3 linked regions of the Diceros bicornis minor genome follow. The protein of the gene in region 1 interacts with the protein of each later gene in a biochemical or structural test. Links are inferred from orthologs where the notes say so. Each region holds a gene or a part of one and is shown in the gene's direction. Other genes may lie near its edges.

Region 1 (10,347 bases):
CTCACATGCCACCACAAACCTAATTATCCCTAGTGTGACAGGAAAGCCAATCTGATAATGACCCTGGCCCTGCTGATTCCGTGGTTGTAAAACCACTCTCTCAGAGTGTCGTATCCTGATCTTACTTTGAGGGAGGAGAGGGCTCGCTCTTCTAGCTCTGTCTCCTAGAGTCAGTAGTTATAGCACCAAAATGGGTGAGTTTTTAAAAATTATTTTAACAGTAATAGTGAAATTAAGGCATAAGATTTTGAATAATTTTTTCTTCTAAATTTTAAAAATCTGTTCTACAACAGTCTTTTATCAAAGAATTATTGATTTTTATATAAATTGAGTAATTGATAATGACAAATTATAATTTGTGCTTTAAAGGTGAGCCTGTTTTCTGAGGAAAGAGAAACTACTGATTTGGAAGAGGTTTTTTTCACTCCTGTCTCTGAATGCTGTTCTGAAAGTTGCAGTTTGTGGCTTTCATTAAATCAAATAGTAAGGTTGTGATTTTAATAATGAGTAGCAGCGTTGTGTATTGGAATGTTGTAAGAATTTGTGAATGTGTCAAGGATTAAGGCAGAACTTGAGATACACAGTGAGAGACCTGCTGAAATCCTTAGTGAAGTAAAAGGCTACTGATACCCTCTGTTTTAGGGATTTTGTTTTTGAAGAGAACTTTTAAAAATTGAATTCTGTTCCTTTTTTCCTTTGGGATCTGAATCATAGTTTTCCTGAAGCATCACCCACTGAGCGTGCTGGGGCTATGTAGGAATCAGGGTGTGCGCACACTTCCCCTCTGAGGCAGATGGTCTTCTCCAGTAACTCGAACAGAAGGAAAGCCACTCCGTGGTGACGTTAGACTCGCTCTCACTCTGTTGTGACCCAACACACTTGTATATTTGGAGGCTGATAACTACAGAAATATTAGTGTAGCCCCCTCTACCTCTTCCTGGACATTTTATTCAGAGGATGCCTGAGGAGAGAATAGCTCTACATATTTCTATGTAAAATCCACTCATTAAATACCAAAGCACATTTTAAAAAATCATCTTGTATAATTTTCAAATTAAAAAAATACTGTAGGGCCAGCCTAGTGGCATAGCAGTTAGGTTCATGTGTTCCTCTTTGGTGGCCCAGGGTTTACTGGTTCGGATCCTGGGCGAGGACCTACTTACCGCTTATCAAGCCATGCTGAGGCGGCGTCCCACATAGCAGAACTAGAAGGACCTACAACTAGGGTATACAACTATGTACTGGGGCTTTGGGGAGAAAAAAGAAAAAAAAAAAAGAGGAAGATTGGCAACAGATGTTAGCTCAGGCCCAATCTTCCTCAAAAAAAAAAATACTGTAGAAAATGTGAAACGTACTTTTAAAAAACGTATATGGAAGAAAATAAACCCCTGTAATCCCACCAGCCAGAAATAACTTCAGTTACCATTTTGAAATATATCTTAGAATGTTTTGGACTGTGCATACTATTATATTTTGTAACCTACTTATTTTGATGTGAGATTGTGAATATTTCTATGTATCTTTAATCCAGTGTTTCTCAGCCAGTTTTTCATTATTACTCCTCCTAAGGAGACTTTTTAGACAGTTTTTTCCTAATCACTCCACTCCCCCATCACCGACCCTTGTGAAGTTTAATACCACAGATAATGCTGTGTATCTTTTTATGGACCATGGTCTCTCGAGGCCACAAATCATTGTAATATCTAAGATTTTTTCACCCCCCTCCCCATCAAGAGCCAATTTTTCCCTCTCTTTGAGAATGCATGTGTTCAGTATTCTTTAAGATACCATTTTTTAATGACTGCAGGACACTTCACCATATGGCTGTACCATAATTTATTTAAAAGTTCTCTGTCTTTCCGCCTCTGTCTCACTCTTTTTAACAAACTTAAAACACTTGAGTTAATGGTTTTGGTGGTTAGGTTTTTTGGGGTTTTTTCCATTTTAAATAATACAAGAATAAATCTTTGTACAAAAATCTTTGTGCACTCCAAATACATTTAAAATTACATTGGCTCTTCCTGCTGAGTTAATGATGACGTTGATATGTGTTTAGTGAACAGTTTTAATAATTTTTAATATCCTCTGCTCACCTCTCGTACCTCCTCACCCCTCTCACCTCCTCCAAACACTTAGAAGAAAGATACTGTACCATTTATTGAGTGTTTCTTATGTCTCAAGCATTTACCTAGTTTTAATCTTCAAATCAGTCTTAAGGAGTAGGTGGTATCCTCAGTTGAGAATGCTGAGTCTTTCTGGAATAAGGAGTAGGTGGTATCCTCAGTTGAGAATGCTGAGTCTTTCTGGAAGTGACCTGCCCAAGGTCACATAGCCAGTCAGAGTGGTCAGCATAGCCAGATATGCTTTACTCCAAAGCGCAAGCTTTTCACTAGTTCATTATATCGGGTGTAAGAAGGTAGTGGGGGAGGAGAGAGGACGGATCCAGTAGAGTCATCAGGCCCTGAGAGATGGCCAAGGCAGAGCAAGTCCCCCAGTGAGAAGACCCCCAGCAGAAGATCTAAGCCGTCTTCCTGACTGCCATGGGTTGATGTGACGTTTTCAGATGTGTGGCTTGTGAGAAGGAGTTTGGTTTCTTCCTTTACCCACCTGGTCACTGAAATGTGTCTGACTGAGTGTTGCCAGCCAGCCCCACTCACTATTCTCTTTGAGACTATAGATGATAGTTGCAGAAGCAGCCATGACTTCATTTCAGGATGCCTTTGGCCCTTCATTGGAAAACATCCCTTGAGGATCTGTTATGTTTCCAGAACCATTCCAAGTGTTGGGGAGGATTAAAGGAAGATAGAAAGCAGTCCTTGCCCCGCCCTGCCCACTTATAGTGGAAGGAAAGGGTTGCCCAAGCCTCTGCTCGCCTGCTGGCTGCTCTGGGATCTGGGATGTGTTGTCCAGTTCAGGGAGCCTTGGTTTTCTTATTTTTAAAACAGAAATTAATAGTACCTATCTTATTTACCTCAGGATAGTTAAAAAAATTAATGGGAACAACATGAAAGCATATAAAGTGTTTTTACTAGTTCATGTTTAAATTCATAGGAAATCTGATAGAATACTGAGCAAGACTGGGATACACAGACATATGAGGAGTTGAGAGGACAAGGCTGGAGAGAAGGGAGGTGTGAGCATGCTGGCTGAGTTGAGGCAGGAGGGCCCTGTCAGAGCATCAAGACCTGAGGCTGCACCTGAAAACTTAGAAGCAGGAGCTCTGTGGAGATGCCCTACATGGCTGACCTTTACTCGGTGATGGTTCTCAAAAGGGTATGCAGGCAGTAACCCACTTACTCAGGCGAGAGCAGGGCACTGGTGTGCTCCCCAAAAGTGTACATGTATGGAGAGGGCTTTTCCACCCGCTCGTTCCCTAAGCCAATGAGAATTCACAAGACCAGAATGGGACTGAGCCCGGCCCCGTGGTGACCCAGCAGAGACTATTTAAAGCAGCCCTGACCGTGGGCAGAGAGCAGAGGTCTGGAGGCCATCTCCCTGAGGTTTGCTGCACTAGCAGGTCTCCATTAGTGTGTGAGTGTTTTGTTCATAGCTTTCAAATGTATATTTGACTCTAACATTCTGAGCTTAAAAGGGTTGGTCTGAGCAAGAGTTTTGAAAAATATTCATAACTCCATTCCCCTTTAAGATGTCAACAAATTCTTAAGTCTTCAGTGAATGATAGCATGTTTCCTACCTTCAAGGGCAAAATATAAGCAATTTCCCTTATATTGTACATATAGTGCATTTGCCAAGTGACTTGTTTCTAGTGTCTCCGTTGCCCACTGACACAGAGGACACAAGGTATTAGAAACGAAATGGAGTTGTCATTCATTCACCCATTCTCTAAAATAATTGAAAAAGCTAAAAACAAAACCACAGTAGCTTTTAACTGGCCCTCTGTGCTCACTACATAGGCTTCATACTAACCAAACTCCCTATTTTTTAGCTGACGTGCATCATTTTTAGGAAGAGGTGCCATGATGTGGGCTACAGAGGAGGGTTACATATGCTCTTACATCCCTCAAGAGAACCCACACCTGTCCCAGTTGCTGACTTCCACGGCCAAATGTGAATTGCAGCTATTTTGGGAACATGTAAGCACATCAGAAAAATGAGTGATTCCATTCTGGCTTGCACCACATCAGTGATGTGACATGTTACAGCACGTCACTGAGTTCATCACAGAAAATTGTTTCTCCTCGTGCCTTCTACAGCAAGGTTAGAGCTGTACTTGTCCCCCCAGAAAAGAAAAAAAGTGAGACAGGCACCAACTGGATAACCTCCTCTGACCTCCACTCTGCCTTACCATAAGTGGATCCAAATCCTTCTAGAAAATTTGAAAGGCATATCCCCATCTATCAGTGGTATAAATAGAAGCGCTTCAGCAGGCTCCGGTAGGTGGTGACTCCAAGGTGGACTGGGAAGCAGCCTGGCCTTGGCGAGGCCTCATCCTCTAAATATAAAGATGAGTGTGCGCAGCCTTTGCAGAAGGAAAAGTTGCTCCTCATCTTAGAGAGCAATGTCCTTGTCCTCCTTGTTGGGAGGAAGGACGAGCAAGGCCTCATCCAGTAAGAACACCACCCGTTTCCACCTCTGGGTCGTGGGTTGTGACCCTTGCCTTTCAGCCCCAGGAGAGAGACACTCAGCCCCACCAAGGATGTGGGGGTAGGTGCTCAGCTAGACGCATGGCAATCTGGGACGGCTGGGTCCGAGAGACCACCCCCAAAATTCACTCCATGAATCCCTGAGCGCGCTGCGCGTCACCCAGGCGGACAGCTCCCAGTGCCTTGGCTTTGTGCCCGGCGCTGCCAGAGCCAGTGCGGGAGACCCTCTCCTCCTCCCGGCCACTCCGCCCTTGCCTCCTGCCGCCAGTTGTCCGCCCCGCGACAGCTGCGCGCCCTCCCGCCGCCGGTGGCCCTCTCCTCGGTGGAGGTGGGGGCCGACTTGGTCAGCGCTCGGATACGGGGAGTTCAGGGGTGGGCAGGGAGAAATGAAGTTCACTGGGGAGGTGAGGAGGGTCGCCTTCCCTGCCTGGGACGCAGGCTGTGGCTGCTCCTGTCCTCTCAGGCCCACCACTTGGGCACGGCTTCCTCCTCCCTATGGCCGCAGGTGAGGGTTTGGGGGTCTGAGTAAAAAACTCGAAGAAGGAGTGAAATGTGGGAGGCGCCTGCCGGAGCGCCCAGTGCGCGCAGAGCGGACACGGGTGGAGAGGCCTTTCGGACAGGTGCAGCTCCGGGAGCGCAGGCGCACACACGAACCCACAGGCGCACGCGGTGACCCTTGCTCCACCCCATCCCCTCCAGCGGGCAACTGAGCAGGATCGGGAGGGGCCAACCCGCCCGGGACACACTCCATATACGGCCCGGCCCGCGTTACCTGGGCCCGGGCCAGGCCGCTCCTTCTTTGGTCAGCGCAGGGGACTCGGGCGGGGGCCCAGGCGGCGAACTGGCCAGGGGAGGGGGCTCTAGTGCCCGACAGCCAAATATGGCTCGAGAAGGGGAGCGACATTCCTGCAGGGCGGCGCGGGGGGAGCGCCCGCGGGCTATATAAAACCTGAGCGTGGGGACAAGCGGCCACCGCAGCGGACAGCGCCGAGAGAAACCTCTTCCCTCCGGCGGCGACCAGGGCCTGAGCCAGAAAGCAGCAGGTGTAGCCACCCGCCCAGGTAGAGTGGGAGTGGGGAGGGGACAGGGGGACAGGGCTCCACCTAGGGGAGCCTGGAGAATTCCAGGGTAGAGCCTAACCGACTCACTTGATCAGCCCCAGACCTGCACCCTGCGTGCTGTGCCTCGGTCCCCAGAGCCACACGCACTTTAAAGAGGAGACACTAGAGGATCAGCCTTTGGAAACATCTCCAAATTTATCCCCAGCCACTTTGGGCTGCTCTACCTGGCATTTAGTATGTGCCAGGTAGATTAAATGTTCTGCTTTAGTCGTCCCAAGGGCAATTCCCTCCCAACTGAGCACCAGAGCCACATAGAAGCAAGGGCCGCTACTCCCTGGGCTCAACATCAGCAGAAAGGGTGTGTGTTGTGAGTATGGAATGTCGTGGGGGTCTGGAATAGGCCATTCCTCCCTGGGTGCGGTGCCAGAGCCCTCCCCATGGGCAGCTTCTTCCACCCTCACACTCACCCAGCAAACAGGTATCGCTGTCCTTAACCCTCAGATGAGGCCACCGAGGCGCAGAGAGGGTGGGCGCTAGCATTTGGCTCTTGCAGCTGGTGGCCTGCAGCAAGGCAGAGAGGTCTCAAGGGACAATGTGCGTCTGGGTTCCCGGGGTGTAGAAATTATCAGTGTGGTCTCCACGACCCTGCGCCCCCCTCCCTGGCGCAGCGCAGCCTTGAGCGCAGGCCGGGTCTCTTTGGCGGCTCCCCTGGCCAGATGCGCACGGCTAGGGGCTGAGGGTGTCCATACTTCCCGGGGGAGAGAGGGCGCTCGTGCCGGCGGGGCCTCCTGCGCTGACTCGCCGTGCGCCTCCGCGGCCTTCTTGTCCTTGCAGAAACCAGACACCATGTGTGACGAAGACGAAACCACCGCCCTCGTGTGCGACAATGGCTCCGGCCTGGTGAAAGCCGGCTTCGCCGGCGACGACGCCCCTAGGGCCGTGTTCCCCTCCATCGTGGGTCGCCCTCGTCACCAGGTCAGGCTGCCTCTCAGCGGAGGGAGCCGGTCTGGGGTCCCCGCGTAGCCCAGCCTCGTGCAACTCAGAGCAGCGGTAACGTGTGCATCGTGTCTCCACTCCGCAGGGCGTCATGGTGGGTATGGGTCAGAAAGATTCCTACGTGGGCGACGAGGCTCAGAGCAAGAGAGGTATTCTGACCCTGAAGTACCCCATTGAGCACGGCATCATCACCAACTGGGACGACATGGAGAAGATCTGGCACCACACCTTCTACAACGAGCTCCGCGTGGCCCCCGAGGAGCACCCCACCCTGCTCACCGAAGCTCCCCTCAACCCCAAGGCCAACCGCGAGAAGATGACCCAGATCATGTTTGAGACCTTCAACGTGCCCGCCATGTACGTGGCCATCCAGGCCGTACTGTCCCTCTACGCCTCCGGCCGTACCACTGGTGAGTGCGCGCGGGGCCACATAGCCCAGCCCGCGGCTGCGCCCCTCCCCCAACGCCGCGCCCCAAGCCCGCACCCAACACTTTCCCACCCGCACAGCCAGCACCTAGTGGGGGCCTCGCTCCCACCGGCGGGGCCGGTCTGCTGCGGCCCGCGCCGGGTCAAGGGATGCCCGGAGGCCTCTCTCAGCCTCGCGCGGCGCCGCCAGCCGGCCGAGCCGCTCACTTGCTGCCGCGTCCCTTCCCTACCCCCCGCGCAGGCATCGTGCTGGACTCCGGCGACGGCGTCACCCACAACGTGCCCATCTATGAGGGCTACGCCCTGCCGCACGCCATCATGCGCCTGGACCTGGCCGGCCGCGACCTCACCGACTACCTGATGAAGATCCTCACTGAGCGTGGCTATTCCTTCGTGACCACAGGTGCGCGGCGGCCAGGGCACCCTGGGCGGGCGGGCAGCGCGGGCGGCCCTGGGCCCTGAGTGAGGGCTCCTCTCCCGCCTCTGCCCCCCGCAGCTGAGCGCGAGATCGTGCGCGACATCAAGGAGAAGCTGTGCTACGTGGCCCTGGACTTCGAGAACGAGATGGCGACGGCCGCCTCCTCCTCCTCCCTGGAGAAGAGCTACGAGCTGCCTGATGGACAGGTCATCACCATCGGCAACGAGCGCTTCCGCTGCCCCGAGACGCTCTTCCAGCCCTCCTTCATCGGTGAGCCCCGCCCGCCGGCCTCCCCAAGCCCCCGGGCCGCGCCCGTCCCCGCCTGTGCCCGCCCGTTCCCTGGGGCCCGTCCCCGCCACCGCGCCCGCCTGCTCACGCTGCCCCCTGCGGTCCCCAGGCATGGAGTCGGCGGGCATCCATGAGACCACCTACAACAGCATCATGAAGTGCGACATCGACATCAGGAAGGACCTGTACGCCAACAACGTCATGTCGGGGGGCACCACCATGTACCCGGGGATTGCTGACCGCATGCAGAAGGAGATCACCGCGCTGGCCCCCAGCACCATGAAGATCAAGGTGGGCGGCGGCCCGCGCCCTGCGCCCGCGAGTGGCTCAGGGGTGCGGCCCCCCACCTGACGCGCTGTCCGCACTGTCTTGCAGATCATCGCCCCGCCTGAGCGCAAGTACTCGGTGTGGATCGGCGGCTCCATCCTGGCCTCGCTGTCCACCTTCCAGCAGATGTGGATCACCAAGCAGGAGTACGACGAGGCCGGCCCCTCCATCGTCCACCGCAAATGCTTCTAGACCCCACCCCACAACGGCGCGCGAATTCTCCTCAGGACGAAAATCCGCTCAAGTTGCAGGCGGCTGACCTCGAGCCACCGGGCAGCAACTTTCCAACAACTGTCGCTGCTGCCGCCGCAACCCGACACAGTGTTTATAACGTGTACATACATTAACTTATTTACCTCACTTTGTTATTTTTAAAACAAAGCCCTGTGGAAGGAAATGGAAAACTTGAAGCATTAAACTCTGCCATTCTGTTTTGCTGCGCAAAGTCGTTTGTTGTGTTTACTTGCCGGGGGTGGGGAGCGGGTGGGGGGGACGGGAGGAGGAGGGACCCCATATTCTGACGTCACTTTTCACAATACTCCTAATGCGTGCGCTCCTGACAAGACCGTTAGTTAAATCTTCCCCTGCTCACGGTTTCCCACTCTGGGTCAGATCCATTCCCAAACACTGGCCGGCCCGTCAGTTGTGGCCCGACTTGGCCCTCTGGTGAGCGGTGAGGCGTCCCTCTCCCTCTGTCGGGCCCCAGTCAGCAGCCGGCCCCGGGGCGGCTGCGGGCGGGTGGCCCTGGCGCGGCGCAGCGGCGGGCGCTGACCGTGGTGCTGGGGCCGAGCGCCGCCCGCAGAGCGCATTTCCGCTCCACCCACGGCGGGCGTTTGCTCACTGAATCGGTGATCGCCCCTGAATCTCGAGATCTAACCGAAAGCATTGTGTTCTGCATTTAATGAGCTGGTTTTCATTTGTAAGTGAAGACAATCACTTCTCTTCCCAATTGGGAAGTCCTTTGCTTCGTGGTAGGTGACGGTGGTATGAAGAAGCGCCCCTTCCAGTATGCGGCTGGGGAGGAGCGGCGCCCAGAGGTGGGAGGAGGGCGAGGGAGGGCCGGACGAGCGCCCCAGAAAGAAGGACGCCGCACGCTGGGCGGGGCGGGCACTGAGGGCGCCCGGCAAGGAAGCGTCTGCAGGGAGGGGAGCTGAGACCGGCAGTGGAAGAGAGGAGGAAGCGAGGGAGAAGGAAGAGCCACCCCCCCAAGTTTTAAAGGCACAAATGTATTAACAGAGTTTGAGTTTCTACGGGGGAGCATAATATCTTTTTTTTTAAGTAGCTTATTGTTTCCTAGTCAAGAATCCCAAGAGCAGTAGTTCCTAAATAAAATAGATTCTGACTCCAAGAACAAAGTTTACAAGGAGAATTAACAAATAGCAGTTATATGCCACATACCAGTATGTTTAGTCTCTCCTTTTATGGCCTATTGAAAAGCTTCTGGAATCTTTGAGGCCTCCAAGGTAGGAATACTGCCAAATCCACATATCAACAGAATCAACCATTCAGTAGAATTTAAGGTTTTAATAAAACAAGTATATGATATCATGTCCACTGAAAACCATTGGTTATTGCCCCATCCAGGGTGGGTAACAATTAAAAGTGGATTAAATTCTAGTCTTTCAGAGGAATCCAGGTTTTATTGATAATAATAAACATACACATGCATATCTGAGCAAACACAGCACACACATGCACACAGCCTGAATTATTCAAGTAGCCCACAGCCTGGAAAAATGTCAGAATTAACGTGAGTTAACTAACTGTCATAGGAAACATTTTTTAACCAAAATCCCAAAACACTTCATTAGGATTTCAATTCTCAATACTCCGAATGCGTGTGCTCCTGACAAGACTGTTAGTTAAATCTTCCCCTACTCACGGTTTCCCCCTCTGGGTCAGATCCGTTCCCAAACACTGGCCAGCCGGTCAGTCGTGGCCCAACTTGGCCCTCTGGTGAGTGGTGAGGCGTCCCTCTCCCTCTGTCGGGCCCCAGTCAGCCCGACAGTTAGGGCTGTAAGGAGGTAAGTTAGATCCGTAAGGAGGTAATGACCCAGTTCTCCTGTGATCATAATCAGTAAATGATTCATGATCATTTAGAACTCACAGAAGTTTTCAGTGTAATCTGGTAGTATTTCCTCCTGCACCACCTTTGACACTATTCTTCTACTGAAAACGTGCAAAAATTATGAATTGTGTGGTTTCACTGGAAATGTGCCAAAACTAA
Region 2 (10,347 bases), on another chromosome or scaffold:
ACTCCTGGCTGCCACGCTTCACTGGGGCTTGACAGGCTTAGCAACTGCAACCCTTCATCCGGAAAGGGCACTGTTGCTCCCCGGCCAGGTTGGATGGTGTCAGGAGACCCTGCTTGATCTCTCCAGACAGAGCTTGGGGACTGGAGCCAGCCAGACTTGTGTTTGAATCTCAGCAATGCCTATTTCCAACCTCAGCAAGTGACTGAAACTCCCTGAGTCTCAGTTTCCCTGTCTGTAAAATGGGAACTTTAGTGCTTATTTCCCCTGGTTGCTGTGAGGAGACTCAGTATTAGATCCCTCTTTCTTCCCTCCCTTCTCCCAGAGATGTCTGGATCCAGAAGCGGGGTGGCATGCTGCCATTGGTGATGGCGGTGCCTCCTTCTGCAAGTCAGGGGCTCTGGACTGTCTGATTCAGAAGGACCTGTAGAGGTGACCTGGTCCAGTGCCCCTATTTTACAGATGGGAACCCTGAGGTTCAGACACATGTAGGTCCTGGATATGGTTGCACAGCCAGTATCTGGGGATGCTGGGGCTAGGAATGAGACCTCAAATCAGAGCATTGGGGCCTACCCCGTCTTTCGCGTATGGAGACTCTGAGGCCCGGACAGGGACAGTCACCCAGGAAGTCAGTGGCAGAGGCAGGCCTAGCACTGGGGCCTCTTCCTTTCTACCTAGGGGTCTTTCTTTTGCACCCAAGTCCCCTGCTGTCCCGAACTCATACATTCTCTTCCAGGCAGGGAGCAGCATAAGACCATGTTGCCCCCATTGCAGTCTCCGCATATCACTGCACTATAGCGAGAGTTTCCGGGCTGTGGGCTCCCCCAGGACAGGGGCAGGGCGTGTTCACCAGCTCTCCAGTGCCGAGGACCAGGCTCCAGAACTAGTGGCCGGCAAAGCAGTAGGGCCTTTGTGATCATTAACCTGGGGGCCACTGACCCAGGGCTGGTGGTCCATGACCCCTGAGGCCAAGGCCAAACCACACAACCCTCTGTTAATCACCAACTGTGTGGTCAGGGCCACACTGCTCCAGGAGGGACTGCCAGGCTGGGCCAGCTGCCGACTGAGGTTCACTCTGGGGGGTTGGGATGACACGGAAATTTTCTTCTGACTTGTTTGGATTTTCCCATTTGTCTAATGAGCAGGCATCACTTTAAGTGTATTTTTTAAGGGTATTATTCCTAGATCAGGGATTAACTAAAAAAATAAATAAATAACAACTACGTTGGATACATACATGTAAATAGTTTCAAACCCTACAGCAAGTTTTTAAAATTGTTATGCAAGTATATTGAGGTATAATTTACATACCATAACAATTCACCCATTGTAAACATACAGTACTGTGATTTTCAGTAGATTTTTCAGCTGTGTAATCATCACCATAATCTAGTGTTAGAATGTTTTCATCCCCTAAAATGTTCCCTTGTGCAGACTGCAGTAATCTGGGCGCTTAACTCCAGCCTCAGGCAGCCACGGCAATGTTTAAGAGTGAATGTCTCCCCCTTCACCCCTTTCAAGCAAACCGCCTTGACAGTTTGTCATTTACCCTGCTGGACTCTTTAAGGATCTATGCAAAAACAGACACTCTTATAAACGAGAGGAGAGGAGCCACACTGTAGTCGTTGTAGAATTTGCTTTTTGCACTTGGGGATCTCTCCATGCTCGTGGAGTGCCTACTATGTGCCCGGCACAGTAAATCTAGCCCATTCCTTTTTCACAGCTGCAGAGTGGTCCATTGTACGGCAGCTCCATGATTTATTTAATCAGGACAATTGAGTCCTTTCCAGTTTTCTTCAAACAGTGCTTCAGTGAACATCCTTGCACATATTATTTTTGTGTTCCTCTGTAAGTAATACTGAAGGACGCGGAACTGTTGCTGCATTGTGTGTTTCAAATTTGGATAGTCAAATTGCCATCCGGAGAGGTGAAACCGGTTTATGCTTCCATCAAGAGCACATGAGAACTGTGGGGTTTTTATAATCCTCCACATGCCTAGGGAGAGGCAAGAGCCCTCTGAATTTAGGCCAGAGCCGGCCCACTGCAGGCTCTGCAGGCCCAGGCCTAGACTTATAGCACTGAGAACTTGGGCATCTCTATGTGGCTCCCCACAGACGCTGGGATAAAGTTCAGACTCTTCAGGGTGGTGCACGGGCTCCTGTGACTCCTGCCACCCTCTCCAGCCTCATCGCCTCTCGCTGCCTGTGTTTCAGACTGGACCTCTCATTATTCACTGCTTTTGCTTGCCCTTTGCCCATGCCGTTCCCTCGCCCCCCTGCCCCCCAGAATGCCTTTTCTTCTCAGTCTTCTTCCTCCCTGTCCTTCAAGGGACAGAGTCTCCTCTCTGTGTTCCCTTAGCCCTTTATCTGACCCACAATCCCCCTTAAGTGGGAGGAAGTTGCATTGGTGGAGGGCAAATTTCACCCTGATTAGATAGAAGCTGGGCTCCAGGAAGAGCTGGGACAGGTAACTATAGCTTGTGGGGAAGGGGGACGGGATCTTCCATTTACCTAGTTGCAGGCCAGGCCATTTTCACACACGCAGACTGATTTAATCCTCAGCAACTATATACCCATTTAGTATATGAGAAGACTGAGGCATAGAAAAAGAAAGTAACTTACACACAGTGGAGGCGGGAATCAAACCCAGGCCTCCAACTCCCTGGTTCTCTTTCCTGTCGTTGCACCAGTTGTTGGGGAGGGGGAGATCCGAGATGCAAAGAGAACCTGGAAATAAAGAAGTTGGGTCCAGCAGAGTGGTGGGAGGGAGGAGAGACGGGTTGGTGGAGGTGGGAAGTGGACCTAGGTGAGTTTGAATAGCACTTCTCCTAACCCAGTGATGGGAAAGGAGCCTGGGAGTGGGGGAAGAGACTTAAATCCTTGCCTTCTCCAAGGGGAGCCAATAGATAAGATGTAAAACTGGAAAAAAAAAAAAAAAAACCCCAAAACAACAACTACAAGAAGCAAAGGAGGGCTTGTTATTTAAGACATGAAGGTAAACCCTGGAATCATCAGCTAAAGGAGGAAGATGGATGTGCCTGCCCCTGGGGAGACGTGAGTGGGGTTGAGAAAGAACACCTTTGTACAAATCCGTGACTTTAAGTTTTGATAAAAATAAAAGTTTTTTAAAAAGAAGGAAAGAAGGGCAGTCTTGAGGGCAATGATGGAAGTTGAGAGGTCTGCCCGCCCCTCTCTGAGTCTCTCTTGTTGACCGGCCCAGTGAAGGGAAGCCCCTTGCACTGCTGCCCTAGTGGCTGGCAGCCGCATGCTACCTAGGTGGGCGTTCCACTCAGACCCCCTGGGTTCAAATCTTGGCTGTACCATTTCCTTGTTGTGTGCACCTTGCTTGATCATTCTGCACTCAGTTTTCCCCTCTGTAAAATGGGGCTGTCCATAGTACTCTGTAAAGGATGTTAGGATGTGTCAGCTTTCATATGATGTGTTCAAGTCTTCAATAAATGTTAATTCCTGTTATTTTTTGCTGGAGGTGTTAGTGCGGAGAGGGGAGGGGACTTGCGTGGGTCACACAGGAGGCTGAGTTGGGCCCCCCGCCTTTCGTGCGTGCGCCCATTTAGTGTGCACTGAGTTAGGGCCTGCTGTATGCCAGGCCGTGTGCTTGGTCTCCGCCCCAGAGCTGGAGTGAAGGAGTGGGCGCGCCCAGTCGGGTCGGCCCGGGTGGGAACCCCGATGTCTCCAAAATCCAAGCCAGATCCCCGCCCCTCCGAGGCCCGCGGGGGCCCAGCCCTGTCCCACGCCCTCCCTGCGGGGCGGTCCCCAGCTTGGGCGGGATGGTCGGGCGGCTACTTAAGGCCGGCGACCCGGAGGCAGGGGGTGCCGACCGGGTCTTCTGCCGCCGTCGCCGCCATGGCTCCGCACCGCTCCGCGCCCGCGCTGCTCGGCGCGCTGGTCCTGGCGCTGTGCGCGCTGTCGCCGCCGGCCCGCGCGGCCACCGCGTCGCGGAGGGCGGCCCAGGCACGGGCGCCCCAGGGACGGGCGTCCCCGACGCGGGTGAGTGCCCGGGGGGCCCGGGGGCTCCCGGAGTAACTCTCTATTGTAAGTTCTTGCAGATACAGCACTAGGAAAAGGGGAGTAATTCAGGTCTAGAATGGAAAAACTGTTTTGTTGCTTTGTAAGTATCTCTTGCTGCTTCCGGGGCTCCCGTGGATGGGGGTGGGAGCCTCGGGGCCCTGGCTGTTTCCCTCCCTGGAGGCTAACCTTACCTTGGCCGGATTTCTTTTCCCTCGTCGCTGCCTCTGATTTCTTACCCATCCCTGCCGCCTGATTTCTCCTTTTCCTTGTCTCATTTCTCCTTCCCTCTGCCTGATGTCTCTCCTTCCCTCTTCTGATCTCTTCTTCCATTTCAGATTCCTTTCTCATCTGATTTCTCTCTCAGTCTCCAATATTTTCTGCCTCTTTCTTTTATGATCTCCCCTCTGCCTGCTTATCTTCACAACTATTATTGACTCTCCCCTCTCTGATATTGTAACCGCCTGCCCTCCAGGACCGGTTCAACTGACCCCCTCTCGTGTCAACAGAGTGATTAGTTATCTTATCAACAGAGTAATTGCCTTTCAGAAAATTTGCAAAGTCTGGTAGCCAGAGCATGTGCAGAAGAAGAAATTGTGACCTGAAATAACCACAGAACCAAAGATGCTCCTCCAGAACCCAAGGACCGGGACATGACTAGGATTAAAAAGTGGGCCTCTTATCAGAAGCCGGGGGTCCCTCATTCAGGAAGATCTGGTGTTAAAATTCCTTCCCCACCTCATCATAAATGTTTAGAACCCTGTCATAAAGGCTTGAAGCCCACCAATCAAAACCTATCCTGCTATCGTTTCCACCTGCCAGCCTGTTCTCCGTAACCTCTTAAATGTAACCCCAAATCCTGAATGGGACATACAGATCCGAGGGCACACTCCTCATCTCCCTGCAGATCGATCTTGCAGAATAAAGCTGATTTCTCCCCCAAAAGCTGTTGCCATAATTAATTGGGTTTTTTAATGCACATTGGGCAAGAGAACCTCAATTTTGTGCGGTAACAATATCTCCTCTGCCCTGTCTGGTTTCTCCTCCTCTCTCCTGCTTCCCTTTTGTTTTCTCCACCCTCTGCCTGAATTCTTCTTCCCATCTGGTTTCTCTGACTTCTCCCACCAGATTTGTCCTCCGGCCCGAGGTGACCTGCGCCTGCTGATTTCTGCCCTCTGGCTCCAGGCTAACCATCCCACTCTGCTCCGTCTCTAGCCCTCTAGCCCGAGTGCATGTCTGAAGGCCTTTCCCCATCCTTGGCCACCTCATCTCCAACAGGCTCCTGCAGACCCTGGCTGTGTCCTCTCCGCCTTTTCCAAGAAATGGAATTTGGGGGTGGGGTGTTGGGGGGCAGGAGGGAGGAGGCAGACAGCGCAGGAGGCCACTTGGGCTTAGTCATCTAGGCCCTTCTGGGGGGTGTGATGGGGACATGGATGGGGCATGAGATATCGTCCCACTTCCAAGAACAAAAGCAAACAAGCTGTGTGACCTTGGGTTAGTTTCCTCCCCTCTCTGGGCCTCAATTTCCCTATCTGCAGAATGGGTTTGGATAATGAGATTTCTGAGGACCCTTCTAGTTCTAAGAGCCACTGAGGATGCTGGAAGGGAATACGCTGAGCCCTTGGGGACCCCAACTTACCATTTCCATCTGAGGGGGTCTCCCTATGGTCCCAGATCTCAGGCTCTTAGAGCCTGGGGCAATTCCTCCTATGCCGTTTCCTAGCAGGGGTCCTTGGCAGAGTCACTTCAGCTCTCTGTGCCATAGCTGTACTATCCAATTGGTACTAAGAAGGGAAAGGAGAAGGGAGGTAGAGCTCTCTGTCCCTCCATCACCGGGAGCTGAGTAGGAGAGACAGACGCTGGCTGGGGACAGGGTTTTAGCCTACACTCTGCCCTGTTTGCTCACTCATGGAGACAGGGGTCATAGAAGTGGGGAGACTCACCTAGGGGGTGGGGAGAGTCAGAGGCTCAAGTGAGATGCTCTTGGTGCTGGAAACCCCCCTCCCTCGTGCCCCGGGGTCTCTCCGCCAAGGCTCCTGCCCCGCTCAGGCTCTGCCCTGTCTCTTCCAGCCCAGCAGCATGGTGGTGGAACACCCCGAGTTCCTCAAGGCAGGGAAGGAGCCCGGCCTGCAGATCTGGCGTGTGGAGAAGTTCGACCTGGTGCCCGTGCCCCCCAACCTTTACGGAGACTTCTTCACAGGCGACGCCTATGTCATCCTGAAGACGGTGCAGCTGAGGAATGGGAACCTGCAGTACGACCTGCACTACTGGCTGGGTGAGCCGCCCCGCCCAGCGCCCTCCCCCGGAAAGCACGGACCTCTGAGGCGTGGTTCCCAGGAAGCACCCATGGGCGCTGACTATTGAGCATCAAGTACGCGCCAGGCCGTTGGCTAGCGGTTACGTGTCCCCAGACTCTAGAGCCAGCCTGCCCGAGTTCAGACCCAGCTCTGCCCTTTGGCAAGTCACTCAGTGCCTCTGTGAAGTGGACATGGTGATAGCGCCACCTCCCTCACAGGAGTGTCGTGAAGGTTAAGCCCATTACTATGGCCCTCAGAACTGGAGGTGACTTGGGGACCCTAGACTCCCCCATAGCTTCCCTGACCCAGCTCCAGACACACCCCAGTTTCCCATTCAGAGTCAGGAGCCTGGAATCCTTGCCACGGGTCTGCTGTGTGACTCTGTAAGTCATGCCCCCTCACTGTGCCTCAGTTTCCTAATCTGTGAATAGAGCCTGTGCTCCCAGGCTGAGAGTGAGTGTGGGGGATGAGTCAGAGCTGGAGGACTCTTGGAGACCGTGGAGTCCAGCTCCCCAGCTCCCCCGTTATACAGATTGGCTGAGGTTTATGGAAGGCAGGGGCTTGCCTGGCTTCCACCGCCAGGCCAGGGCAGTGCTGGGGGCTCTGGACTCCTCCTCCGTGGGAGGCTGGGACCACTTTCAGGAAGCCAGGCTCATGCTGCTCTGACGTCCCCTATAGGCAATGAGTGCAGCCAGGACGAGAGTGGGGCGGCGGCCATCTTCACCGTGCAGCTGGATGACTACCTGAACGGTCGGGCTGTACAGCACCGCGAGGTCCAGGGCTTCGAGTCGGCCACCTTCCTCGGCTACTTCAAGTCTGGCCTCAAGTACAAGGTGGGTCCTGGACGGTGGGGACAAAGGCACCAATGGCAGGGCTCACTCAGGTCCACCCATCTTTCAGCCTTGTGGGGTGATGTGGGCACACAGCTCAGAGCTCAGCCTCTGGAGTTGGCTGGATCTGGGTTTGAATCCTGGACCCTTCCTAGCTGTGTGACCTTGGACAAATCACACTCCCTCTCTGAGCCTCTGGTTGCTTATCTTAAAATGGAGAGAAGAAAATTCTCCATCACTTCGCTGGGTTGTCATCCTAGCCCCAGCAGCAAGGAGTGGGCCGTGGGTGGAAACCCAGCCCCTTGCTTGCCCGGGGCTTGAGCTAGCCCTGTTCCTCCCCCCTTAGTTCTTAGGCCCTGCCAACACAGGGCCCGTGTTAGGTATTTGAAAAGGCACCCTTGATCACATTCCTCTTTCCGTTCATTAGAATCCCCCTTGAACTTGAACTCTAAAGAGTCTGAGCCGACACAGAGCTCTCCCCTCAGCCCGCAGCCGGTTGGGGCTGAGCAAAGCTAAGCTAGGAGCCCGGAGAGGCTGTGCCCTAATATCCTGTGTGACTTCTGGCAAGCCACTTGGCCTCCCTGAGCCTCCCTCCTCTCTGGTTAATGAGAGCCAGTTGTACCTGCCCTTCAGGCCTGGGGAGAGGATTTGGTGAAGGGGTAGCTGGGAAATGCCTTGCACAGGACTTGGCACCTTGGAGGAGCTCGGGGAAAGTTGTAGTTTTGCAAAGCTAGGATTCTCTTTGGTCAGGATAGGGAGGGGATCATAAGCTTTGATAGCCAGATGGGCCTCAATGTCAGAGTCCAAATCTCTTATTTTAAGGGATGGAGGGGAAACTGAGGCACAGAGAGGTTAAGCAGCTGGCCCAGCATCACACAGAAGTCAGTCCCAGAGCCAGGACCAGAACACAGATCTGACTCTCAGCTTTCTTTCCACTACACCAACTTGCCTCTCAGGAGCAGGTTCTATGGTAGGGGTCAACTCCCCTCTGTGCCGCTGATGTGCTGTGTGTCCTTAGAGAAGTCATCACCCCTCACTGGGGGCCTCAGGGTTCTCTGCGTCAACAGGATAGTGACTCTGCCCAGGTGAGGCACAGGGGATTAGACAATGGGAAAGCACTAGCGAGACTGAGATAGCAAAGGGCAGGGTGTGTCGTGGGAACAGGGCCTCAGCCCTGGGCCGGGCGGAGCTGGGCCGGATTCCCTGGAGCCTGCACAGTGCCCCCTGCCTGCCAGTTCCCCCCAGGGCCCGGAGCTCCCCCTGCTGAGCTGTCCAGCTCTACATTCTTCCTACAGCCTCTTCCGGGGCCTTGGTACTTTGAAGAGGGAGAGGTGAGAAGGTTGGGACCCAAGCCCCTCACCTGGAGAAGGACCAGACCTTTTTGCAGCTCCTGGAGCAGGAAGTGGAAAGAACACTTGACCAGGAGTCAGAGAGATTGAGGTTCAGGTCTCAAGGCTCCCCCCGCCCCTGACAGCTGTGAGGCCCCGGGCCAGTCGTGTCTTCTGGGTGTGGGCTCTCACGTATTCCCCATTCGCTATTCATTCAGCAGACATTTATGGAGCCCCTGTAGGAACAAGGCCTGTTATTGTCGCTGCTGTGTGGACAGCAGCAACCTCTCTTGTGGACAGGTGAAGCAGTTACACAGCGGGTAGATGACGGAGCTGGGATTCAAACCCCGGTGTGAAGGGCCTAACACTGCTGGTTCAGAGTGGACATTGCAAGACTCCCTGGTCTCTGATCTTCGCCCAGATGGGGCCTAGGAATCTGCATGTTTAGCAAGCCTGCCCTACCCTGTGATGATTTTTCCAGGATGTTTTTGGACCACACTTTGAAGCATGCTCCAGGGGGTTGGTTTCCAACCCGGCCTGGATTTGAGACTTGAGTCCGGACAGGCCCTGGCTCCTGGTGGAAATGTGAGGTCCAAGGCCGGCCCTGTTTTCCACCTTCTGCAAGTCCTCCGGCTGCCCCCGCACTTGGCAGGCCCAGCCCAAGGTTCTTGGCCTGGCGCCCTCATCAATTATACATCCCCAAGGAGCAGAGTTTGTTACGCAAGACTTGTTTCTGTGAAAGCCTGCTCCTTGGAGCCAGTTCTGTCCTCGGGGTGTGAGAAGGGGCAGGGAGGGGATGGGAGCCACTGGAAAGGGCTGTCACAGGGCCTGACCTGTCTTGTTCTGCAACGCTTGTCCTAAGGATTTCCTGAAAAGTCACTGCACTTTTCAGAACCTTTCTCCTCCATCTCCTTCTCCTCATCCTTCCTCCCCTCCTTCTCCTCCACTCTCACATAGAACCCTAAGACCCTGTGGGGCCTGGTTATTTGAAACCCTTTGTTCAAACAGAATCCGGGCTGGGCTGAGTCCTAGTAGCCCCTGGCCCGAGGAACACAATGGGAAACCTACAGAATCACTTCCTTTTCTTAGCTAAGGAACACTGAGTTTAGAGGGTGGAGGGGACCAGCCCCAATCAGTATGTTTTTCTTTGTTTTATAAACAATTTAACATTTTTTAAAATGTAAATCCTTGTAGCTTTTTTTCCATCTTCTGACTACAAGAGTAATACAAGCTTATTGTAAAATGTCAAACATTATAGAAATACAGATTTTAGAGAGTAAAAGTCTCCCATGATTCTACTCTTGGAGGTATATACCAAATGATGGATGATTTTTCTTTCTAGATATGAACATATAGATATGTATATTCGTATACTGAAATAGAACTATCTATATATATGATATGTATATATATATCTCATCACTTTAATTTGGAAAGTGGCTTTTAAAACAATTTATCCTATGCAATTTTGTTCAAATAATTTGATGCCAATCTCTGCCCACCTAGTGATTAGACCATAGAAAGCAACAATCAATCTTAAATATTATAGTAAAAATAGTAAGAATTTCAAAAAATTCCTGCCCGCTGTGCTTATAGATCCATTAACGTCTTCTAAAGGCTTGTTTTTCTTTTTTTGTTAACTTATCTTGCCAAGTCTAATTTCCTAGATTGGTAAGATTAGAGGAGTTAATCAATCAGGAAATGCACATCCACAATCATTAGAAATCAAGTATTTTATAAATTTATATACAGAGAATTTATCAGAACCAAGATTTATGACATAAAACGACCCTTTTCCTTTAAAAAATTGTTTCTACTTTTTAGTAACAAATAAAAGGCATGCTTGAACAAGTAAAATAGTTTAGAGACA
Region 3 (10,347 bases), on another chromosome or scaffold:
GAAATTAACAACAGTAACTTCTCTTTGGCATATCTGAATTGCCAGCATCACTACTCCATTATTATTGAGGCCATTATTAAGTAAAATAAGGGTTACTTGAACACAAACACTGGGATACCAGGACAGTCCATCTGATAACCCAGATGGCTACTAAGTGACTAATGGGCAGGTAGCCTATACAATGTGGATACGCTGAACAAAGGGATGATTCATGTCCCAGGCAGGATGGTACAAGATTTCCCCACAGTACTCAGAATGGTGCACAATTTAAAGCTTGTGAATTATTTCTGGAATTTTTCATTTAATATTTTCTTGCTGCAGTTGACCACGAGTAACTGAAACCACAGAAAGAAAAACCACAGATAAGGGAGGACTACTGTAATTGCAAATAACAGAAATGCAGCTCTAATAAGCTTAAGTAAAAAGGGAGATTTAGGGCTGGCCCAGTGGCATAGCGGTTAAGTGTGCCCACTCTGCTGCTGGTGGCCTGGGTTCGGATCCAGGGCGCACACCGACGCACTGCTTGTCAGGCCATGCTGTTGCAGCATCCCACATAAAGTGGAGGAGGATCGGCACAGATGTTAGCTCAGGGCCAGTCGTCCTCAGCAAAAAGAGGAGGATTGGCATGGATATTAGCTCAGGGCTGATCTTCCTCACAAAAAAAAAGGGAAGATTTATTATTAGGATTTGGAATTTCTCATGGGAATCAAGAACAGGGAATGGTTGGGGTATGAGAGTACCCTGCAATCTAGATTATCCTCTGTTTCTGCTCTTTACCTCAACTTCAAGGATATTACTTTAAGCTACTAACATTCATTTCATCAGGTCATTTATCGGGGAAAGATATTGATAATGCACTTTAACAGTATAAAGAGAATTTGAATGAAAATAACACTCTGGAAAATGAAATTGCCACCAACTAATTGTCCCAAGGAACTCAACGGAGATTTCAGAAGCATTTAACTGTTTCTCCAAATTGCTTTCTTTCTTTTTGTTATGTTAAGAGATGCAATCACCAACCACCCTGAACCAGACCAAGCCTCACCACAAGAGCAACGCCTATGACCTTTGCCTCATTTTTAATGCCAAGATCTCCTCTCTGGGAGGAGCTTAGGCCTTACTATCATAACCTTTAGTGTATGGGGAAGCATGTTTTCCAACTGAGGCTGCATAAGCTAATACCCACCATTCCCTTTTGAATATTCAATCCCCATCTGAAATAAGAGGCCCCTGCTGTCCCCAGCTCCCTCAGGGACAACCACAACTTTAGAAATGCTTCCTTGTGGTCTCCTATTTGCTGCAAAAATTTCTACTTTGTGTGATAACTACTTCTGGTCAAGAGTCTGATTTTAACTGGCCAAGAGGCGAACCCACTTTTGGTTCAGTCACAAAATCACTGGAAGAAGGTCATTTCTACTGGAATACTATAATGGAAGAGTTTCTAAGCAGCCTGCAGCAGCACAAAAATCTTAAAGATACTGCTTTGGTAAAGAGTGTAAGATCTAAGAGTTACCAAAAAAAGAGAATGTGATAGGGAAAGAACTAAAGATGAGTTCTGTCTGTCTCACAATTTTGCCTAGAACTAGCCTTGTTTAGGGGAAACCCTACATTTCTTCTGAAGTCAATGGTGAAATAGAGAAAGAGGAGGGAGACTACTTCAAATCAATTCTTCACAGGCAACACAACTCCTGTAAAATTACACCACTTGAGTATTTAATGAATAATTCTTTTTACAAATCTATTTCTGTAATAAATTCCTGAGTTGCTGTAACAGAGAGTGTCAGAAGATTTGACTTGTCCTTTTTCATCCTTTTCCCCCATCTGACTCACTGGAATAGTCATTGCAACACGAGACTTCATATTTAAGCCAATTATGATTATTTCTTCCCAGTTTTAAAATCGTTGTAAGCAATCAACATTTGAAAGATTAAGGAGAGTTACACAAATAAGACTGAGAAAAGGTTCATATATTCAGCTACTAGCATGTGAGTGCCAGTTTTCAGTTAGAAAAAGATAAACTCAGCCAAGAGAATGCACTTGGCAGCTTGTGTAGAGATTTCTCAAGAGCACACCTAAACGAGATGTTGCAATTCTTGCTACATGTGGTTTATCATTAAACAAAAGTGGCAGATGTTGTTGCAAAAGCAGAGATAAAGTTATGTTTTTAAAAAGTGAAAGAACAGGCTAATCTTAAACTCTGTAGCAAAATTAATGGGAAACAAGTGTATCTTAAATGAACTGATCAGAAGATGACTGAAGCACTGTTAAACAAACTATACAAAAGTGCACATGTTGTATTACCTTAAAAATGGAAACTATAATGTGTTAACAGTTATTCTCTGAGTTCTGGATTTCTCAGTTATTTTTAAACTCTTTGGCACTCGTTTAGAGTTTCTTTATTTTCAAATAATTTACAGTAACACTAAAACACATTTTTTAATTAACTCGCAAAGTAAATTAAGAGTTTAGCCAAAGAAAAGGTTTAGAAAATCTGTAGTAGGCAGGAAGTTGATCTTTGAACAGCATTTGGTTGGTCCTTGAACAGCAAGACTGTCTTCCCATACTGCCTCTAGCAATGTTTACAGTATCTTCTACTCTCCTTTACCATGTGGATTTCCATTGGCCTTACAGAGATATCTCTGCTTTGATCTTGCTTAGTTATCTTCTTCCAACTAACGGGACTCTATTTTCTGAACCTAACACCCAACTATTTTTAATATAGATGGAGGATCTGACTAAAAATGTAACTGCCTAGTGTGGTTTGAGACTTTGATGGAATCTTCCCATGCAGTTAGTCCTTAGCAACTAAATGGATATTGGAATTCTAGATCACTTACCTGTTATGGTACTAAACCCAAGATACAGGGCTGGCTTTAAAATTTTCCACTAACCCAAGACAGAGGGCTGGCTTTAAAATTTTCCACTGAGTTCCAGGCCTCATTAGTTCAAAAGACCTTCTCAGATATCATAAATTTGGTGAGCTAGTGGAGAAAGTGGCAATAACTAGAATAAGAGTAATAGCTAACATTAATGCATGTTACCACGTGTTTGATGTTACGGTAAACCAAGCACATGGATTATCTTAAACTCACAGCAAAGGTACTAAGAGTTACCACCACTTTGCATATGAGAGACACAAGGCTTAGAAAGACAAAATTTCCCGAGATTACACAACCAATAAGAGCTGAGTGGGGATTTGATTCCAGAGCCTGTGTACCCAACCCTTACCTGACCCCGTTTCCTGAAAAGAGAGCTACTGCAAGAATCAGGAGCTGAGCCAATTCCAATGATGGAATGAATGTGACTACCTGTGCCTCTCTGGGCAAGTCACAGAATCTATCTGGGGCTTAGCTCTCTCTTCTGTAAAATGAAGATGTTAGATTCCGCGTTCTGCAAGGCCACTGTGAGCTCTCAGGTTATATTATTCTAAAATATACCAGTTGTACGGTATTAGTAGAAAGAACTTTGAGTGAGCTCAAGATTTACCACCAACTTTCATGATTTGGGACAAGTCACTTAACCTCCTCTGTTACTATTTGCCTTACTAAAAGAGTTATTTTTAATACATATGTCAGTGTTTCAAAAAGTACAACATGGCACAAACATAAAGTACTATCCCATCATCTTCAATAAAATTATTTTATAGCATTGAAATTATGGATTTGAGCAATTGTAATAAGTTGGCTTCTCACTTCTTTTTCTCCCCCTTATGACTTAAAAACATCTAGTCTGCAATATTCTAAGGTAACCCTTACTTGTAGTAGGTTTAAACGAAGAGAGAGAGAGAATCTCTAAGTTGTCCATTTATACATGAGAAGGGTAGAGAACGTCCAGAGACATAACCCTATAAAGGGGGTGGGGCGGATGTGCCCACTAATACATTAAATAAGTTTCAGTAAAAAGCAGTATGGAAAAAACATCTATGTGTACCCTGACTCTTGTGCAGTTTGACTCAGTTAATGATTAAAATCGCCTAGATTTTCCACTATGTTTTCCCCAGGGTGTCTATTTGCTTTGATTGACATTATTTTATCTCTTGTGGGCCTAGGATGATTACCCTAGCTTCAGCGTAAAGATTAATAATTGATTAGTCTGTAGTCGGGAATCTTGGTAAAAGGAAATTGGTTACTTTTGGCTGCCATTTTTTACCGGGTAACCTCCAGGAGACGGGGGGTGCTGAAGGACTTGCCAAAGGAAAATGAAGAAGATCCTGGCTGTCCTGCTTGCTGTAGCATTTGTGCATACTCTAGAGAGAGGTAAGACTTCTATGGTGTGACCATTTACAAGAACTCTTACTAGTCTAATTTTCTGTTACCATTTTAAAAGTTATACAAAAAGGTGAAAAACAGAAGAATTGGTGAATATGTTGGGGAGAGAGGGAAGCAAAGAGAGATTAATCTGAGTTCTAATATGCCATATAGTGTTCAACTGGAATAGCTAAAAAAAAAAAATCAAGATAAGATCTCAGGAAAGAAAGAAATTATATAATTTGTCAATTATCCTTCCCTGCTTTTTTGATAACCAAGATATGGAGAGAATGGTTTGAAGTCAGACATTTTGTAATTGTTAAAATATCATGCAAATGGAGGCTGTGAGCCATCACTGAGCATTTTTTTCAGACTTCAAATATTTATTGCCGTTGAGAGCATAATACACCACATCAATGATGCATGGAGTCAACTGAGAGATTTCGTTGATCTTCTTCAAGGAATCCTGTATGCAATGTTCGAAAATGCACTGTAGTTTCTAAAATATCCCACATAAAATAAGAATTTAATAGTTATAAAAGATGACTATTAAGATAATTGAGCTATGTTTTTCATTAAAATTATTCTTCAAATGGTGTCTTTATCTCTGAGCAAGGTTTAAAAACCTTTTTCAATGGCACAAGCTGAAATTCTATGAAGTATACGACTTTATGGAAAGTTCTCGAGTTGCAAAATTCATAGTCAGTTTCAATTTACTTTTCTGGCTAATTCTTTAATGCTTATAAGGGAATCTGCATTCATCCTGCTTTGAAAAATTAATTTTCATGTAGTGCTGTCAGTTAACAGCCTCACCCAAGTCATCCATTAGTATTCATATTCATAATATATTTAACCAGTGGAATAAAACATGTGGATCCCAGAAATTATCAGTTATTAACCATGGCATGAAGACTCCTGACTTTCTTATTCTTTTTACATTCACTTTTCCTTGATCTTACTTTTGCTATTCCAATTATTTTAAATTTTGTCTTATTCACCCATAGATCCTTAAGTAAGCTATGGATCTTAATGTAATACTACAAAGTCTGAGATACATTAGGGTATAAATAAGTAAAATAAATTATGTCCCTTACAAGCCCTCTCAATAGGTCAAGTCCCAAGAAACACTGAACGTTTACTCCATCACCCAAGGTTTCCCTGGGGCAGATCTGAATCTGAAAAATTTTACTGAAACAGGTTCAAATCACGATGGTCACAACACAGAAGGTCCAGTCATAGCTAGTTCTTGGAATTATATGTGGACGCCATAATGTGGGACACGAGTCACCATTTTGGACTGCTGGCTTAGTAAGTGTAAATTGGCTTCACTTCAAAGAATTACAGTGTCCTTTGGAGAATAACAGTATTCTGCAACCTCTATTTCAACGTCCTTCAGCATTCTCTCAGACTCTGATGAAATGGATGCTAAAAGCCTCAAGTCAGCTCCCTTGAAGGTCTGAACTTCGCAATGAACAAATTACACAGGTGCCATAGAGATATACCCTGAGACATAATGTACGTTTGTAAGTAATAAATGTTCAATACTTGGGCACAGTAGTCCTGACCCATCCTCTGTTCTCTAATACCTGAGCATGACCCAAATACGAAGGCTGCGATTTACCTGGAAGCTAGGTGTGCTATCTCCTGGCAGGAGGTTACAAAGTGTACAGATTAAAGAAGTTAAGAGGAGCCTTGGATGGTGGGGGATTGGTTTGGGTTGCAGTTCTCTCTGCCCATTATAGTTCTAGAGGGCTGAACAACCACCCACAGAATTTATCTAGGACACCTTTCCAAAGTGTATTTCACTCAAGACTCATCTTGGAAAAAAGTTTCTGTGGCCAAACACATTTAAGAATTAAGCCATATATTAGTCCTTCTTGGTTGGTTCACAATCAATGCCTTTTGTTGTCCTAAAGGTCGTGAAAAGTCATACAAGAAGGAAACTTTACTTAACCTAGAGTCTCCCAAACATATAGGCTCTTTCCTACAATAGCTATATCCCATGAAAGTATTCTTTGGAAAACCTCAGGTCTAAAATGGATACTGCTGCAGCTCAACATAAACATCCGCTCTAGTCAAGCCATCCTCTCCTTTCAAATGGCACTGGGGGTTCAGTTCATAAGCCCTTGGGTACATCTTGGAAGAGAACACCTTACCTTTAGCTACCCCATGAGAGGCCGAAAGGCTGTGTTTGCCAATTGCCTCCACTTGGCTTCTTTCCTCAGGACTGAAATGGATATGGCACTCATCTAAAATGCATCTTTGCCTCTTCTCAAGAAACATACAAGAAGGCTGCTGACACAGCTACACAATTACCAAGGAAGTAATGCTATAGGAAATAAACCACTGCAGTTTACAAGGGATGTTGGCAAGAACAGGATATTTATTATAAACATTTTCCTTTTTGCTTTAAGCATTTGATTCTAAGCACATATATTTTTATTAAACATGATCTCAAACACCAAGAAGAAAGTAAATCTCCTTTGGATTGGTGGGTGAGCTGTATTTTTCCTTCTCCCACTTGCCTGTCAAAATAGCCCTAGACAATGTGGGTTACCCCATCTCCCAAACCACCACTGAATCACTTCTTCTCTTTTCTACTAGTTGCCCCTTCATCAGTAGCCATGTTAAAAAATAAATAAATAAATAAGAGGTGTCCTAAGTTTGATTCAGGAACATAGTTGTACAGAAATGCCAGAGAGAAATAATTTAGGATAAATAGACATCCTCTCTATTTTCCCAGATATGTCTTTATATCCTCTCTGCAAAACCTACGTAATGGTTATTGAGGAGGTGACATGGGATTTGAGATCTATAGTGAAAAGAAGACAGCTATGTAAAGACCTAGAAGTGTGTTTCCACCTGAAGGAACTCAGGTGCACAAGTCCTGAGCTGGGAACAAGCATGGCCTGATCCAAGTTCCCAAAGCAGCCAGACTAAAAGCATAACAGAGGCTTCGTCGAGAAGGGAAAGGAGGAAGAGCTGCAGTCAGAGAGGCAGATAACCTCATCATCAAAAGCAATGTTAACCTCCCTGGAAATCAGTAACAATGTCACCCTTCCCTGTTGTAAGGTGCAATGACAGGTATGTACTCACTATCACACGTGTGGTGTAAGGATAAGTATACACGCTTTAAAAGGCCATGAGATTAATCTATATAGGAAGGAGAAGAAGAAATCCTTAAAAGGAATTAATTACCTTCTCCCCAGATATCTATGGTCACTTAACTTCTTTATTCTGCCCAGTGCTCCCCTTGTCTCTCCTACTTTCCCCCAGTTCACTCTGCTTCAGCCACACACTCCCGCACTATGTACTCTGCACCTCGAGGGTTTGCACTAGCTCCTCCCTCCTCTTAGAACACTGATCCCCCTATATCCACATGCTCTCTTCCTCACCTACTTCATGTGTCTGCTCCAAGTTCATGCATAGAGAATGCTTTCCTGACCACCTGACCTCAAAGAGCACCTACAACTCCACTTTTCTCTATCCCTTTATTCTGTATTTTTTTCTTTTTAGCACTCCTCACCTTATCACCAGCTATGGTTTATTACAACAAATGTAAAATGTAGAATGTAAGCTCCATGAAATTGAGGACTATATATTTGTTTCTTGCTGTAGTTCCTTTTAGAATACTACTTGCCATATAGTTAAGTGTTAGATAGATCTGTGTAAAATCACAAAATTAGGATTATTATACCTACCTCATAAGGTAGTTCAAGTATTTAAGGAAAATTAAATGCCAACTAGGACGCATAATAGATATCCTGAAAGGAGTAAACTCTGTAAGTCTTTTGCTATTTTTGTTGTAATTATATATTAAGTTTCCACCGTGAAGCATTAGCACTAGATTTTATGCACTGAATAAAATAGCTAATATTTTATTTATAATGTGCCAGCTTGCTTAAAATCTTTTGGATAAATTTATTTCATCCTTACAACACCATGATGAACTCGGTACTATTATCCCAATTTTACAAATGAGGAAAACTGAGAGAAAGAGGGGTTCAGTAACTTATCCAAGGTAACTGAGCTAGTAAGTGGAAGAATCAGAATTTTACATAAATTCATTGGGTTTATAATGACAATGCTCGCAATCACTGCTTTGTGGCCTCTCATGAGAGAGATACCTGACCTACGATCTTTCACTAATACGAGAATGAGTATAAGAGAGAGAGCCAGTCACTATAACACCAATTTAGGCAGAATTAAGTGAAATTCATGCTGCCTACTATGGTCATCCATAACTGATCCAAAGTCCAGTTCATCCCTATTCCATGAAACTGGTTCTGTCTTCTAACTTCCCTGTTTATTTTCCTGGCACCATCACTTCTGAATCATTTATTTTCAATCCTGTAGAGACTTCTTGGATTTTATTTTATTCATTTTTGTTACCTATATTCAATCATTTCCATATTCTATAAGTTTCAGCCTTGTACAGAGCATTCTACTGCAGAAACCTCCTCAGTATCCCCTTTCTCTCTCTCCTTTACCTCCTGCATGTATCTAGTTCCCAAGGCCTGTGAACACTAGCTTTCATATCTTTTCTGTTTCCATTTCCATACACTGTCTTTGTCTGGGCCCTTGTTCCGCTTTACCTGCCTATTGTAATGGCTTCCTTACCAAATCCCTACCTTCCAGCCCTTCCCCAATCAATTCATATTAAAATACAAACTCTGACATAATGCGGTAAGTGGAGTCCAAAAATGAATTACATAAAAATCAAGATCACTATTGAGAGATTAATGAAATGATGGGGTTGAGCATGTGCAGCTAGATTGTAGGATTCCAGGCATAAGGCCGTCTGATACAAATCCACTCCAATTCTGGTCTCTGTTTGGAGTCACCTGATGATGGGTATGACCTCAGGCTTAAATAGTAATGAGCATATGGTAGGCAGAATGAGGACCCTCCCCAAATGTCCACATCCTAATGCCCAGAAATGTGAATAGGTTAGGTTACCTCACAAAGGGGAATTAAGGTTGCAGAGGGAATAAAGTTTGCTAATCAGTTGACTTTAAAAAAGAAAGATAATGTCGGATTATCTGGGGGGGGCCAATGTAATCACAAAGGGCTTTACAGTAGAAGAGGGAAGCAGAAGAGAGTCAGTCAGAGGAAGATGTGACTAAGGAAAAAAGGCTTAGAGAGATGCAAAGTTGCTGGCTTTGAAGATGGAGGAAGGGGACCTGGAGTCAAGAAATGTAGGCCACCTCTTGAAGCTGGAATAGGCAAGGAAATGGATTCTCGCCTAGAGCCTCCAGGAAGAACACAGCCCTGCCAACACCTTGATTTTAGCCCAGGGAGATCTATGTCAGACTACACATTAGAACTCTCAGGTAGTAAATTCCTGTTGGTTAAGCCACCAAATTTGTGGTAATTTGTTACAATATCGATAGAAATTCAATACAGATTTCTGGGTCTTGTGACAAGCTGGGACTTCCAGAAGGAAAGGAGCATTGAGTCAAGACATCTCACTGTTGATTGACCACCATTTGATTGGCCAGATCCCCATTTCCCTGCTTCCTGGGAGTTTTCTATTTTCACCTTCTCTTCCATTTTCCTCTGACCAGAAATTTAGTCTACCACCTCAGATAAGGACTGGAGTAAGTCACATGACATCCATATCACAAGGGTATATAATGTCTGATAATGTACATTATCACCAGATTTTACTATAAAAAGAGTTGCTAACACTCACTGAGTGTTTACCACATGTTAGGCAGGAAATATGCTAAGCATTTTCATATAGATTAACATATTTCATAGAACAGCCTTATGAAGAAGGTACTATTTATCTTAAATCCCAGATTACTCTTCCTTGAATACAGCTATGAGCTGATCATTCCCCTACAAGAATATATTTCAATAGATACACCATTACCTTAAAAAACAAGAAGTAAAACTTTGGCTATCAAGTCCTTCTGTGTTTACATCCCGTACTTCAGTTTCCTTACTGGACGACTCATTATTCTCCAGATATGACTTGTGACTTGCTAAATTCAGGTATGTCTTTATGTTCTCCTTACCACTTAAAATTTCTCTCCCACAATTTATTCACTCTTGTTAAAATCCTCCCTATCATTCATGGTCCCCTTCGAGTAGT

Evidence for each region.
Region 2: the proteins of ACTA1 (region 1) and GSN are reported together in a solved structure, tested with the Homo sapiens proteins (3 studies listed by BioGRID and IntAct). The link is inferred for Diceros bicornis minor from reciprocal best matches to the Homo sapiens genes ACTA1 and GSN.
Region 3: the proteins of ACTA1 (region 1) and GC are reported together in a solved structure, tested with the Homo sapiens proteins (2 studies listed by BioGRID and IntAct). The link is inferred for Diceros bicornis minor from reciprocal best matches to the Homo sapiens genes ACTA1 and GC.

Annotation. Positions count from the first base shown.
Region 1 is NC_080745.1:26,368,244-26,378,590, reverse strand, and holds ACTA1 (actin, alpha skeletal muscle), read left to right. Parts: upstream 1-5,568; 5' UTR 5,569-5,665; intron 5,666-6,499; 5' UTR 6,500-6,511; coding exon 6,512-6,640; intron 6,641-6,746; coding exon 6,747-7,071; intron 7,072-7,328; coding exon 7,329-7,490; intron 7,491-7,583; coding exon 7,584-7,775; intron 7,776-7,902; coding exon 7,903-8,084; intron 8,085-8,168; coding exon 8,169-8,312; 3' UTR 8,313-8,565; downstream 8,566-10,347. UniProt on the Homo sapiens protein: Actins are highly conserved proteins that are involved in various types of cell motility and are ubiquitously expressed in all eukaryotic cells.
Region 2 is NC_080767.1:28,448,132-28,458,478, forward strand, and holds the start of GSN (gelsolin), read left to right. Parts: upstream 1-3,845; 5' UTR 3,846-3,860; coding exon 3,861-4,004; intron 4,005-6,092; coding exon 6,093-6,297; intron 6,298-6,997; coding exon 6,998-7,152; intron 7,153-10,347. UniProt on the Homo sapiens protein: Calcium-regulated, actin-modulating protein that binds to the plus (or barbed) ends of actin monomers or filaments, preventing monomer exchange (end-blocking or capping).
Region 3 is NC_080747.1:58,067,919-58,078,265, reverse strand, and holds the start of GC (vitamin D-binding protein), read left to right. Parts: upstream 1-4,198; coding exon 4,199-4,256; intron 4,257-10,347. UniProt on the Homo sapiens protein: Involved in vitamin D transport and storage, scavenging of extracellular G-actin, enhancement of the chemotactic activity of C5 alpha for neutrophils in inflammation and macrophage activation.